Linked DNA regions of Cricetulus griseus. The protein of the gene in region 2 interacts with the protein of the main gene of each other region in a pairwise test. Links are inferred from orthologs where the notes say so. Each region holds a gene or a part of one and is shown on either strand. Other genes may lie near its edges.

What was found. The genes of interacting proteins can lie anywhere in the genome.
Region 1: the proteins of Homer1 (region 2) and CUNH1orf116 interact in binary tests that used the Homo sapiens proteins (3 or more experiments, as listed by UniProt). The link is inferred for Cricetulus griseus from reciprocal best matches to the Homo sapiens genes HOMER1 and C1orf116.

What each region holds. Positions count from the first base shown.
Region 1 is NC_048598.1:58,300,636-58,306,498, reverse strand, and holds the start of CUNH1orf116 (specifically androgen-regulated gene protein), read left to right. Parts: upstream 1-2,036; 5' UTR 2,037-2,477; coding exon 2,478-2,582; intron 2,583-5,752; coding exon 5,753-5,863. UniProt on the Homo sapiens protein: Putative androgen-specific receptor.
Region 2 is NC_048595.1:312,037,146-312,043,186, forward strand, and holds the start of Homer1 (homer protein homolog 1), read left to right. Parts: upstream 1-2,452; 5' UTR 2,453-3,682; coding exon 3,683-3,687; intron 3,688-6,041. UniProt on the Homo sapiens protein: Postsynaptic density scaffolding protein. Binds and cross-links cytoplasmic regions of GRM1, GRM5, ITPR1, DNM3, RYR1, RYR2, SHANK1 and SHANK3.

The sequences.
Region 1 (5,863 bases), on a different chromosome or scaffold from region 2:
ACCCAATAGACTTATTCAGACAGCATTGCTTTTTTTAATTGAGTTAGCTCTTTGACAGTTTCATACATGTGTATAATTTATTCCGGTGGCTGTCTCCCACATCCTTCCTCCCTGTCCTCCTGCCCCATCACCCTTTCTTCCTCCATACCTGTCCCTTTCCCTCTCTCCCAGATTCATGACTTGGAACTTTGCTGTGTGGCCCATTTAGTTTATCTAGGGCCATCTTTGTGACCAGTGGTGGGATCACCAGGGTATACATGGAATTCACTCTCTCCTTTCCCTGAATCTATCCCTAGGAAATAGTTCAGCAGTGAGGGGTAGGGCGCCCTGAGTCCCTCCTCCATCCTTGCTTGGTTGTTGGTGGGCCCATTCTTGTGCAGACCCAGGGCAGTCTTCAGAAGTTGTTGAGAGGTCATGATTACATGGATATGCTATGCCTAGATGGTGACATCACACACACACACACACACACACACACACACACACACACACACACTCACACACTCACACGCCTGTGTGCTGCATTTCTGACTCTTTCAGTCTTTCTACCCACTCTTCCACAATATTCCCAGAGCCTTGGTGGGGACAGTATGAATGCCTTGTTTAGGACTGAGCACCCAACTGTTGCCTACACTTAGCACTATGTGCAGACATGTTTCTGCACATAGCAGTTTTGAGTGCTTCTGCAGAATGTTAGGAATTGACTCTGTACCTGGATAATCACTAAAGAAATGCAAAGCTAGGATGGCTAAACTCAGTCTACAAGGGTTCTTGAGTGTCTGTTTCTTTGAGTTTGGGATGTTGAGGAACTGACCTGGTGGAGAAATCCCAGAGCTACCCCACCCACCATTGATTAGCATGGGGCTTCTTTGTTGTCCCTTCTCTTTTGGGCCCCACTCATCTCCTAAGAGGCTGTGAATCCTATGTGTCTGACTCGGGATCCTGTCTTTTTCTCTCCCAAGCATCTTGCCCCATTTATGGGTCTCTCCTAAGCAAAGGAGTAGCCTTGTGAGGCCTTGCCTGACTCTTGCCAGCATGACCAGGTTGGAAGACCTAACTGAACCCAAAGCTGACATTGGCACTGCAGCAACTATTGGCAGAGGAATATGTACCCTGGCACCTAAGCCCCAAGTCCCCAGATCTCCAATAAAACATTCTGTCCCAGGACAATTTACCTTCTATTAGGAGAGTAGCAGAAATGATTAAAACATAGTATAGTGTTACAAGCAAAATATGAATCTGAGTCATATAAAATTTATTGTAATTCTAGCTCTCCCTTAACTTTCTGTTTAAAAATCTTTCAGATTTTCATTTTCCATAAAAAGAGTTACTCTTGCCCTGCCCTGGTCTGGTGGGCTATTTCCCACAAACAGATGTGAAAGAAAGAAACCCTTAGGAAGTTTAGTGGCAGCGACGAGGTGGCTTTTTGTTTGTGTTTGGTTTTTGCTATTGCTGTTGCCACAATGAACTTGGACTATTTCTCCCCATAGAAGCTGGGTTTAGAGAGGATCTACACTGGACATTTTTTCTCCTTCATTTGACGTAGTCCAGGGAACTTCACTGCGAATGCATAAATGGCAGAATGCAAGTGTTAACGTGAGGGAAATGGGACTGCTCTCAACCATTGCAGGTGCCCTGTTCATATGGCCGAGGGCAGAAAGATGACAAGTCAGCCTTCTTGGTGGCAGTGTCATATTTATGATATTATTAACAGTGATTGCAACTGACATTATTGGGCATATACTGTACTACATAGGCTATTCCATTTTTCTATTCTCATAATGACTAAGAAGTACATTATTAAGGGCCCTGTTCCTTCTCTCAAGCCTGTAATACCCCATTTAGACAGAACCCTTCTCTCCAAAACTCTTGTTCCCAGTGCTTGGGTTTAATTTGATCTGAGGTGGATTTTTATAAGAACAATAGTATCTGCTACCAACAGAGCTGTGTGTCCTAACTAGCCTCTCATTTAATCCTTGCATTAATCATATTTAACAAGTAATTCATCTAAATGCAAATCACTAAGTGGTTCAACTGGGTTTTGAGCCCAGAACCCAAGCCCTCAACCTTGTAATAGGTATTGGTTTTTATAATGAAATTACAATTCAAACTCCTTGCTTCATAAAAGAAAAAATAAAAAGCAGCTAAGAGGAAGACCAGAACCTCTTTTCTGACTAGCCTGCATCTCTGCTCCCTGAATCCATCTTCCTGAATGCATTTGAGCTAGCTTATGTGTCCCTCCATGCAGACTGAGGGTGGAGTTCAGACATGACCGGTCCATGGCTCCCTTCCAACTCTGTGCTTGCTTGGTATCTTGCTGCCATGAAACCCCAGGGCCTGAGCAGTGCTTTGTAGAAGCCTCTGCTCACACGTGGCTTTGATTGTTCTCTTTTCAGGCCCAGCTTGGGACATTCTTCACTTCCATTCACTTCCCCTCTGGGAGCCCCTTTCACCACCCCTGCGCCTTGCTTCAGGCGATGCCCAAGAGGGAGCTTTGGCCAGCAGGGCCTTGCTCAGAACTTGTGACCCACATCGGCAGCTGTGACAGCATGATGAGCACCACCTCCACCCACTCTGGATCTGTATGTACTCTCTCCCTCTTGCAGCCTGGCCTGCTCTGCATACCTGCCCCACCCCACCTCGCCCTGCCCTGCTGTGCCGCCCACCGTCATTCTCTGCACCTTCTCTTTCATCTTCTTCACCAGGGACTGAATCACTGGATTCTTGCTGCTTCTGAGTCAGCTCTGGTTCTATAGAGAATTGGGTGGGACAACCTCAGAGAGCAATAGGATCAATACCCAACCACCCACGTTTTCATTAGATTAAAGGGCTTAGGTGGGGAAAGGAGCAGGCGCTTAGGTCGTGGTGGAAACTGGAAGGTAGATTTCTATCGAACATGAACTCTTAGAATCCTCTGCAATGAGGATAGCACGGCTTCCATTTTCCACAAAAAGCGAAGGAAATGGAGTAGTTGGGAGCCTTATGGAGCTGAACGAATCCAGATTCCCTCCTCAGAAGCCAGACTACCTTGGGCATATCACCGATTTCTCTATGCTTCAGTCTCCTCGGTTTGGGGTTGTTTGTTTGTTTGTGGTTGAGACCCTGGCTTGTGGTCTCACTGTGTTACCCTGGCTAGGCTGGCATTCGCTATTTCAACCAGGCTGGCCTTGAACAGAGAACCACCTGCCTCTGACTCCCAAGTTCTGGAATTGAAGGTGTGCACCACCATGCTGAGCTAGTCTCAGTTTTAAAATGGGGAAAATGTCAACACCTAATCATAATGGCTCTTGGAGGGAGTAATAAGTTGTGCTTGTTGCATGACTTTTCCTGGGGAGGCTTGACAGAACACAGGCAGACCAGAGATTGTTCCTAATATGGAGACTTACTTACAGGAGCATTGGTGACACTGAGCATGGGTGACAGCTTAAAACCTACATCCCCGTAGCTCCCTGTAACCAACTAACTTACAGATAGTCTCCCTTCCCCTCTCTCAATCTCTCAATATCTCTCTCTCCATCTCTGCCTGCATCTCTGTCTGCAAATGTCTACTGCCTACGAAACCATGTGAATATTGGAGCTTTCTGAACTCCCTAAGCAGTCTAAGTTTGTCAGTCATCTTTCATAAGCTTCCCCAAAGGGAGTGTCTGGGGTTAGAGGACAGCTAAGCAGCATTAAATAGCATTTAGAAAGCTAGGGCTAGGGTGCTGCCCAGCAGTAAACTGATTACCTAGTGTGGACAAGCCCTGGGTTCTATCCCCACTGCCTCATAAAATAAGAGAAAATAAAAGCTATTCTTTCAGAGTATATTGACACACACCAAGTCTCAACACCTGGAAAGCTAAGATAGAGAGTTCATGTTCTCCACCAGCTTGTGCTATATTGTAAAGCTTTGTCTAAACAAAAAAGGTTTATGAAATGGCTCAGAAGATAGAGGTAGAGTTTCTAGTGTCAGAATTCACAGGGCACAAAGAAGAAACTGACTCTTGCATGTTTCCTACTGACCTCTATACACTCAGTAGAACACACATGCCCACAAACACACACATGCAAAAGAAATAAACATTTAACATAATAAGATAAATAAAGCACTTACCATTTACCTCTATTCAGAAAATAAATGGCCCTCTATGGACAGAGATAGAACCATCCACAATCACAATGCTTAGCTGTTTGTGAGGGCATGTAATAAGCTGTTTTTTTTTCTGGACATGATTTTAAATTCTAAGTGTTATAAGGTTAGGGTGAAGGAGTAAATATGCCTTCCATTCAAATGTAAGAATTCCTTTGCTGTTTATCATTGTAACAAAGGGTTTGAACTTTATTGTCCTAAAAAGTTTGTGAGAATTTAGACTGTGGCTGGAGACACAGCTCAGGGGAAGTGTTTGCCCTGCAAGCACTAAGACCTGGGTTAGATCCCCAAAAACCACAAAAAAACACAGTGAATACGAGGTGGAGAGAGGTGAATCAAGAATTCCAGGCTATCCTCAGCAAATTTAGGACTAGCATAGGCTACATGAGACCATCTCAAAGAAAAGGAAAGAAGAAGCTGGGTAGCAGCAGTGCACACCTTTAATCCCAGCACTCATGAGGCAGAGGTAGATGGATCTCTGAGTTTGAGTCCAGCCTGGTCTAAAGAGTGATTTCCAGGACAGCCAGGGATTACACAGAAAACCCCTGTTTTAAAAAAAAAACAAAAGGGGGGGGGATCAAAGAAAAAAAAAGGATTATAAAACGTTTCTAACAAATGTTAGTATTTACTCTATTTAGTGGGTTGGTTGGTTGGTTGGTCGGTTGATTTGGAGACAGAGTCATGCTGGAACTCAGTAGTGAGCCCACCTACCTGGATGGCTAGTTAATAAGTTTCATTATAAAAAAGGTAGAGCAGAAAAGGCAAAGTGCTTCAAGTATATGCAAATTTTCCTTTTGACATGAGAGGCTGGGAACACAAAGATGGCATCCTATTTCTGACTGGTAGAAACCAGCATGAATAGTCACATTCCATCGGATAATCTATAAAGGAAAAATCCAGAAGGCAGTGATGAAGACCTTTATTCAAGTAACTCCAAGAGCTGTGTGGGGGACTCTCCCTTGTTATGCAGGCCCAGTCAACTGACAGGTGACTTTAAGGGCAGGCAAGACTGGGGCTGGGGCCGGGGTATTTAACAGCCTCTTTGCCACTCTCCAAGTTATTTCTAGGACTATCTGGCAACCTTCCCCAGCAATCTTGGTGAGTCTAGACAGTAACCAGAAGAGGAGTGGAAGCTCAGACCAAGTGTCACATATCCCCATAGTTGCTTGTGGTTTTTACCTAGCTGCTGGTGGCACTGGCCTGCCAGGTGGCTGCTGAGAGGTGGCAAAAGTTCTTTGCAACGTTAAAGGAGATACAGCTGAGTTTTAGCCCATACATGTTGTTGCCCATACAATTCACAATTAGATGGCAGACAAACTGGTAGAGATATTGTGTAAGATCACGTGGAACTGGAATGAAAACCTGGGCTGCTTCCGGTCTGGGCCACTTCTTCCTGCTGAGGACTAAGCAATAGGAAGTCCCCTTGCCACCTGCCTACCTAGCCTTCAGAACTGGGTCCTGGCAGGCTTTAGCCTGCCAATCCTCCTTGGGCCTACTGTTGCAGAAAGCAGCTTCACTGGTTGGCAGAGCAGAACCAGGGCAAGTTTGCCAGCTTTGTAGTATTCTTTGCCTGTAGCAGGCTGAGTCTCGGGCCCCACACCTCACAATTCCTTCTCCCTGCAGAGTGACAGCAGCTACGACTTCCTGTCTGCTGAAGAGAAGGAGTGTCTGCTCTTCCTGGAGAAGACCATTGGCTCACTGGAGGCCGAGGCTGACAGTGGACTGTCCACGGAT
Region 2 (6,041 bases):
AAGTAAAAAACTCAATTTATCTGAAATATACCAGTTTCTGTAAGTATGATGATAATACATATCAGACAAACCGGCAAGCAGATACTTGCTTTTCATTAGCCTTTCATTATAATGCTTACAAAACCAGTACCCCTTAGTTACCACACAAGCGTGAAGATGAGAGTTGGGGTCCCCAACATCCATGTATGTGCTGGGTAGGATGACATTCCATCTGTAATTTCAGCACTGGAAAGGCAAAGACTGGATGTTCAGAGTAAGCTGGCTAATTAGATTAAATCTACCGACAAGCTCTGAGTTTAGGAGAGAGAGAGAGAGAGAGAGAGAGAGAGAGAGAGAGAGAGAGAGAGAGAGAGACATCAATCAAGGAAGATTCCTGACAGTAAACCTCTGGCCTCTACTCTTGTCATGCACACATGTGCTAGCATACACAAATACATGCACATGCACACACACACACACACACACACACACATAACAAATACATACCTGTGAGAAAAAAAGAAAAAAAGCTCCCAGAGTTCTTAAAATTTCAAAGTAAAGCAAGATCACAGTTTTATAATGTGAAGATAAATGACCAGGCAGTGATCAGTTGCAAATTTGTCCTATCAGTTTTTGCTGATTTCCTTTAATCTTGGGTTCCAAGCTAAAGCAAGAAAATGTCAATGCAAAAAAAAAATGTAAAATCATTGTTCCTTAATTCAGAATTAAGTGTTAACATTAAAAACATGTCTCAAAATCCACATGTAGCAGGCAAGCATGTGACACTCCTGCAATTGCATTGCTCAAGGGAGACTCCGAATCTTAAGTCATCTTGGGCTAAATTACTGAGACCCTGTCTTAATCAAAACAAAAACAAACAAACAAACAAACAAGCAAAACTAGTCCTGGCTGAGTCTATAGAGTTTTAGCTCATTTTATTTTGAACTGCATTGGTATTGATTTATTATTTTTCTAAGGACAACTTCATGATTTGGTAATACTATTATGTCCTGGATTTTCCAGGCCACTTCAGATTTTGAATAATCTGTTTAATGTCAAATGACTTCAGTTTGTAAAATATGGTCACTGAATTTATAAAGTAACTGAAATAATGGCCCTTAGCAGTATGCAGCAATTCTATTTCTGGGCCATGATTGTCAAGTTAAATCAAATAAAAGTTAAGTCCAGCCTGTGAATCGACCTAATAAATGGCTATCTTAGGATAATGAGACCACTTTAAAACTGTATGATTTTAAAAACACGATTTTCACGTATATAGCTATAAAATTATGGATGGTTAATCATCCTTGCCATATAGAAAATGTAAATGTACTTGAGAGTTATTGTGGTTACAAGACTCAAAAACATGTTAATGTATGTTTGTGAATTAAAAGGATTGGGTGACAGACCTTTGCATCCAGACTGTAATTGATATTCTTGGTAGGTCAGAACTGAAGGGATTCATTAGCATTTGCGATGCTGCAGAACGATAATTATCTGAGGGATCTAAGTTTTACTTTAATGAATTTGACTCATTATGCCATGCCGAACCATGCTTATGTTGTGAACCGCAACATTTAGAATCCCCCTCTGCCTTAATTTAATTTAACGTTTGTAAGAGGTTTGTTCTTAACTCCACTTAAAAAAAAAAAAAAGTCCATGCCATGGAGGGAGGGGGAGTTTAAAAGTTATCTATGTTCAGAATGGTATTCAGGACTCCTAAAATTAACGGTGATTTCCCCCAAGTCTACCAGTAGTGATCACTCTCCCTCCCACGTTTCTCTGCAGGTTGGAATGTTAGCAGCCCAGGGATGCTGCTGCAAACCCAGTGGGAGAGGGAGACAGGACATTACCGGCGACACTTCGGCACTGTTGCTAAGAGTGATTCACTCGCGTTTGGCACATTTGTGTCAAGGAAACCTCCTCCTGCCGCTTCCTTCTCCAAGCTCTCCTCCGACTGTCTCAGGCGCTTTGGCCTTTAAGAAGCGAGAGCAGGTGGGCACACAGCAGCTGGCCCAGCCCTCCTCCCCCCTGCTCTTTCCCTAATTTAGCAGTACTTCCGGCCGCGTGACATCATCCCCCGCACAGGGTGACGTGAGCGGAGGGTGACGTGTGTGCGGAGAGGAGCGCGCTGACGTTGCTATTTAAAGGTCCTCCTGCGGGGAGGATGGAGACACAGCGCGAGAACCCGGAGTGCGGAGCGGAGGAGGCTGTGGCTGCCCGGAGTCAGCGCTGGAGTCGAGCGCTTCGCCCATCCGCCGCCGCCGACCGCTAGGGTTGGGGAAGGAAAAAGGGACGGACCGAAGGACCAGCCGGCTAATCCCCTCCGGGCTGGTCCCTCACCTCCCAGCTCCGAGCCTGGGCCCCGCCTCCGCCGCGCCCCACCTCCTCCGCCGGCCTGCGGCGGCGGCGGCGCTCCGCCCCTCGAGCCGGGAGGGCCGCGCTCTTCGCCCCGCCCCGCCCGCCCCCCTCCCCTCTCCGCTCGTGCGCTCGCCTCACGCCGGCGGCGCGGACCGGGCAGCGGCGCCGTCAGCTGCGCTCGTTTCGGAGCCGCTCTGTGGTGGCAGAGGAGGCAGCGACGGGTGCCAGGCCGCCCGGGGCCGGCGGAGGCTGCCGCTGAGGGGAGTGTGAGGAGGCAGCGGCGGCCCGGGGCATGTGAGGCGGCACGGAGCGGGAGAGACGAGCCGGGGTGGGGGTACGAGCCGCGGCTGCTGTGCCTCGGACGAGCCGCGTGCCACTCGCCTCAGCGCGCGGCCGCTAGGAGCTGGGGGCTGGGTGCCGGGGACCGCGCGGGGCTGGGTTCTCTCTGATTCATTCATTCTCCGCTGCCTGGAGCCCGAGGCCGCCGGTGCTGCGAGGAGAGGCGGGAAGAGGGGGCGGCTGTGAGCGGGGCTCCATTGTGCTCGGCGGGGGCCGGGAAGCTGAGGGAGGTGGGCTTGGGCCCCCTGCGCTGCTCCCCGGCGGCCGCTGCGCCCCCAGCTAGCCGCCAGCCTGGAAATGGCTCCGCTGATGCTCCTCGAGAGAACGAATCGATCCTTCCCAGCCTTTTCTGCTTGCTCTCCACCGCCTCTCCGCTCCGAGTCTTAGGAGGACGAACATTCAAAGGACAGATTCCGATGTGGTGTGCTGTGCACATCGCGAGCGGCCGCGGTTTGCACTTGAGATTTTTTTCTTTATAATTTTTTTTTTAAGTGTAAGCGAAGGCAGACAGTGGCATTGCTGCCTGTAGGATTTTTATTAAAGTGCACGTCGCGTTGGGTTGCACGCTCCACCCCTAGGGACCTGGTGTGGTGAAATTTGAACCCACCGCCTTAGCCCAGAGAAGGCCGAGTTACCTGGCTCCCTGGAGTGTCGAGAGGACGTGAGCGAAATGACCAGCGAACTCGTTTTTTATAAGACTCGGTGAAGCTGGGTTTTGCGTTTACCTACATGTACACTGATTTTATGGAATAGTTGAGTGCTATATTCTCCGCGCAACCTTTTCAAATTCCAAATAAGCAAATGTTTGAACGCTTTGGTATCAGCGCGAGTGAATTCCTTTTACCGACAAGAACTAACTGAATTGTCAGCATCGTTGAATTACCTCCGGAAAAGATCTCGGGGGTGGAAAAGCAGCTGCAAAATAACAGACGGAGAAAATTCCTTGGAAGTTATTTCTGTAGCATAAGAGCAGAAACTTCAGAGCAAGTTTTCATTGGGCAAAATGGGGTAAGGATTTTGTGCTTACCACAGCTTTAAATCTGTTTGTGTGTGTGTGCAGTCTTGCGGTGGTGGTGACTGTTTATAATTCTACCCCTTGCTAAACGAGTACTACTTTAAAATAGAGATTATATTTGTATTATTGTAGAGCGACGCCAGAGGTCCTAATTAGAACGTGTAATGTTGTTTGTAACTCAGTTATAGTCTTATTAATGACATGTATGAAGACAATGCATTAAGTCTACCCTGTACCTCTTAATTGATGAAGCCGCTGTATAGGTTACCAAAATCTTGCCATCTTAGGTTTGGTTGACCGGTAACGTTCAAAGAGAAGGGCTGCATTCTTCCAGTACTTTGTAGAAACAATCAGTTGCACAAAGGGACGATTGTAATGACTAGTTAGACTACAGTCCTTGAAACTGATCCCTTGTAAGTTGTCGCCCTCACTGTGCCCTGTGTTTTATCCTTGAACATCCGAAGCTAACTGCACAGCATTGGGTTTATTGGGCATTAAAACGAGAATCTCAGTTTCTCACTGTTGCGGTCTCCACAGTGTGGTTGCTAAAGCGAGAAAGCTTTTGGTTGAAGGAACGTGTTCACTTTTTCTGATTTTCTCTTTTAAGCTTAGACTTTTAGCTGTGTCAGCAGTGTCAGATTTACATCTTCGACATAAGCCAGCCAAGAGTGCATTTCCCAAACTTTTAATTCTAATGTTAGGAGCTCTTCTTTATTTAAGCTGGAAACCCGTGTTATGGGAGTGGCGATCTGTTCATTTCTTCAGTGGATGGTCGATGCTGTCTCTGCATTCTTCCTGTGGTCGAATTAACAGCGGTAAATATATAGTTGAGGGACAAAGTTTGAAATAATGGATTTTGAAATTCTTTGTGATGGTTTATTAGCAGCACACAGTTTTCTTTAAAGTTCGAGAGTAGTTTCTTTTTGTTCTGGCAGTTAAAATTTGAAGTTTATTAGCATATACAACTTTGAAAATGTAGAGCACGTGTCACAGGAGTCCTTCCTCAGAAATTAATTACGAGTTGATAATTATGTTTAATACTTAAATGACCAGGATATAAATGTAATTAAAATACCTTCTATTTCTGGTGCTGCTAGTAGCTTGGTGACCTGCAAATCATTTAACCTTTATGAACTGTATTCTTACCTGTAAAATAAGGAATTTAGAAGTTTTCCAGCCTGTAAAAATGAATTTTTTTTCCCTCCTTCCCTCATTTAATAGTCAGTAGCTGGCTTTTTTCTTCTAAACACTAGGAAATAATGGTGTTTGAAAATATTTTGAATCAGTTGCATCAATTTTTAAATGAGAAAATACTAAAAAATATTAATATTGTAAACCTTTGAAATATGGCTTCCCGTAATTTTATGCAGCTCCACAGTTTAAAATGCATTGTTTAAGGCTTGTTGGAGTGTCACGTGTACTCGAACCTACACACAAAATCAAGTGGCAGTTTTTTATTGAGAAGATTGCATTCTCCAGACTGGAGTGGTAACATAGAAGAGAACCAGTTTTCTGTGTCTCTTATATTACATGAATGTCCACTGTTTTACCAAGTGAAGAGTGAGATTAACTTAATACTAAAGGAGACTATCCTTTGAAATGTGAATCTAAGCTACTTACATGAAACACATTTAGACACTTAGCATAATTTGTTTATAAACAACTCACTAGCCTTTTTGCTAAAAATATTTTAAGAGGCTGGAGCGATGGCTCAGGGGTGAAGAGCAGTTGTTGCTCTTTCAGAGGACCTAGTTTCAATTCCCAGCACCCACATGGTGGTTCACAACCCTCTGTAACTCCAGTTCCCAGGGATCTGATACCCTTTTCTGACCACCACAGGCGCCAGGATTGCAAGTGGTGCACATACATATATGCAGGCAAAACACTGATAATGCACAGAAATTAAAAATTGAAAAATAAATAAAAGTTTTAAAATGACATATAAAATAAGGCTGTAATAGAGTGGAGACTGGTGAGTACTATGATTTGAATTTACCCCTTTAAAATTCAGGTGCCAAAACTTCATGGCCAATGCGATGGTAGCTGAGTATTGAGAGATCTGGAAAAAAGAGCTGGAGAGATGGCTCAGTAATTAAGAGCACTTACTGTTATTTATGTGACTCTTTCTTGTTGGGGTGACTTGGTTTTTCTATGTTGTTGAAAGATGAAGAGTTGGTGGAAATAGAAGAGAATGTCATACAGCAAAGGCATTTGCAGAAGTTTCTGCCCTTTGTAAGTGTAAGCATAGCCATCTGGGCCTCTTTGAAACATGTTAATAGTATATGACCTTTAAAGTTTTCCCAGGCAGTCCCAAATTACCGTACTTGGACGAATATCCAAGATTTCA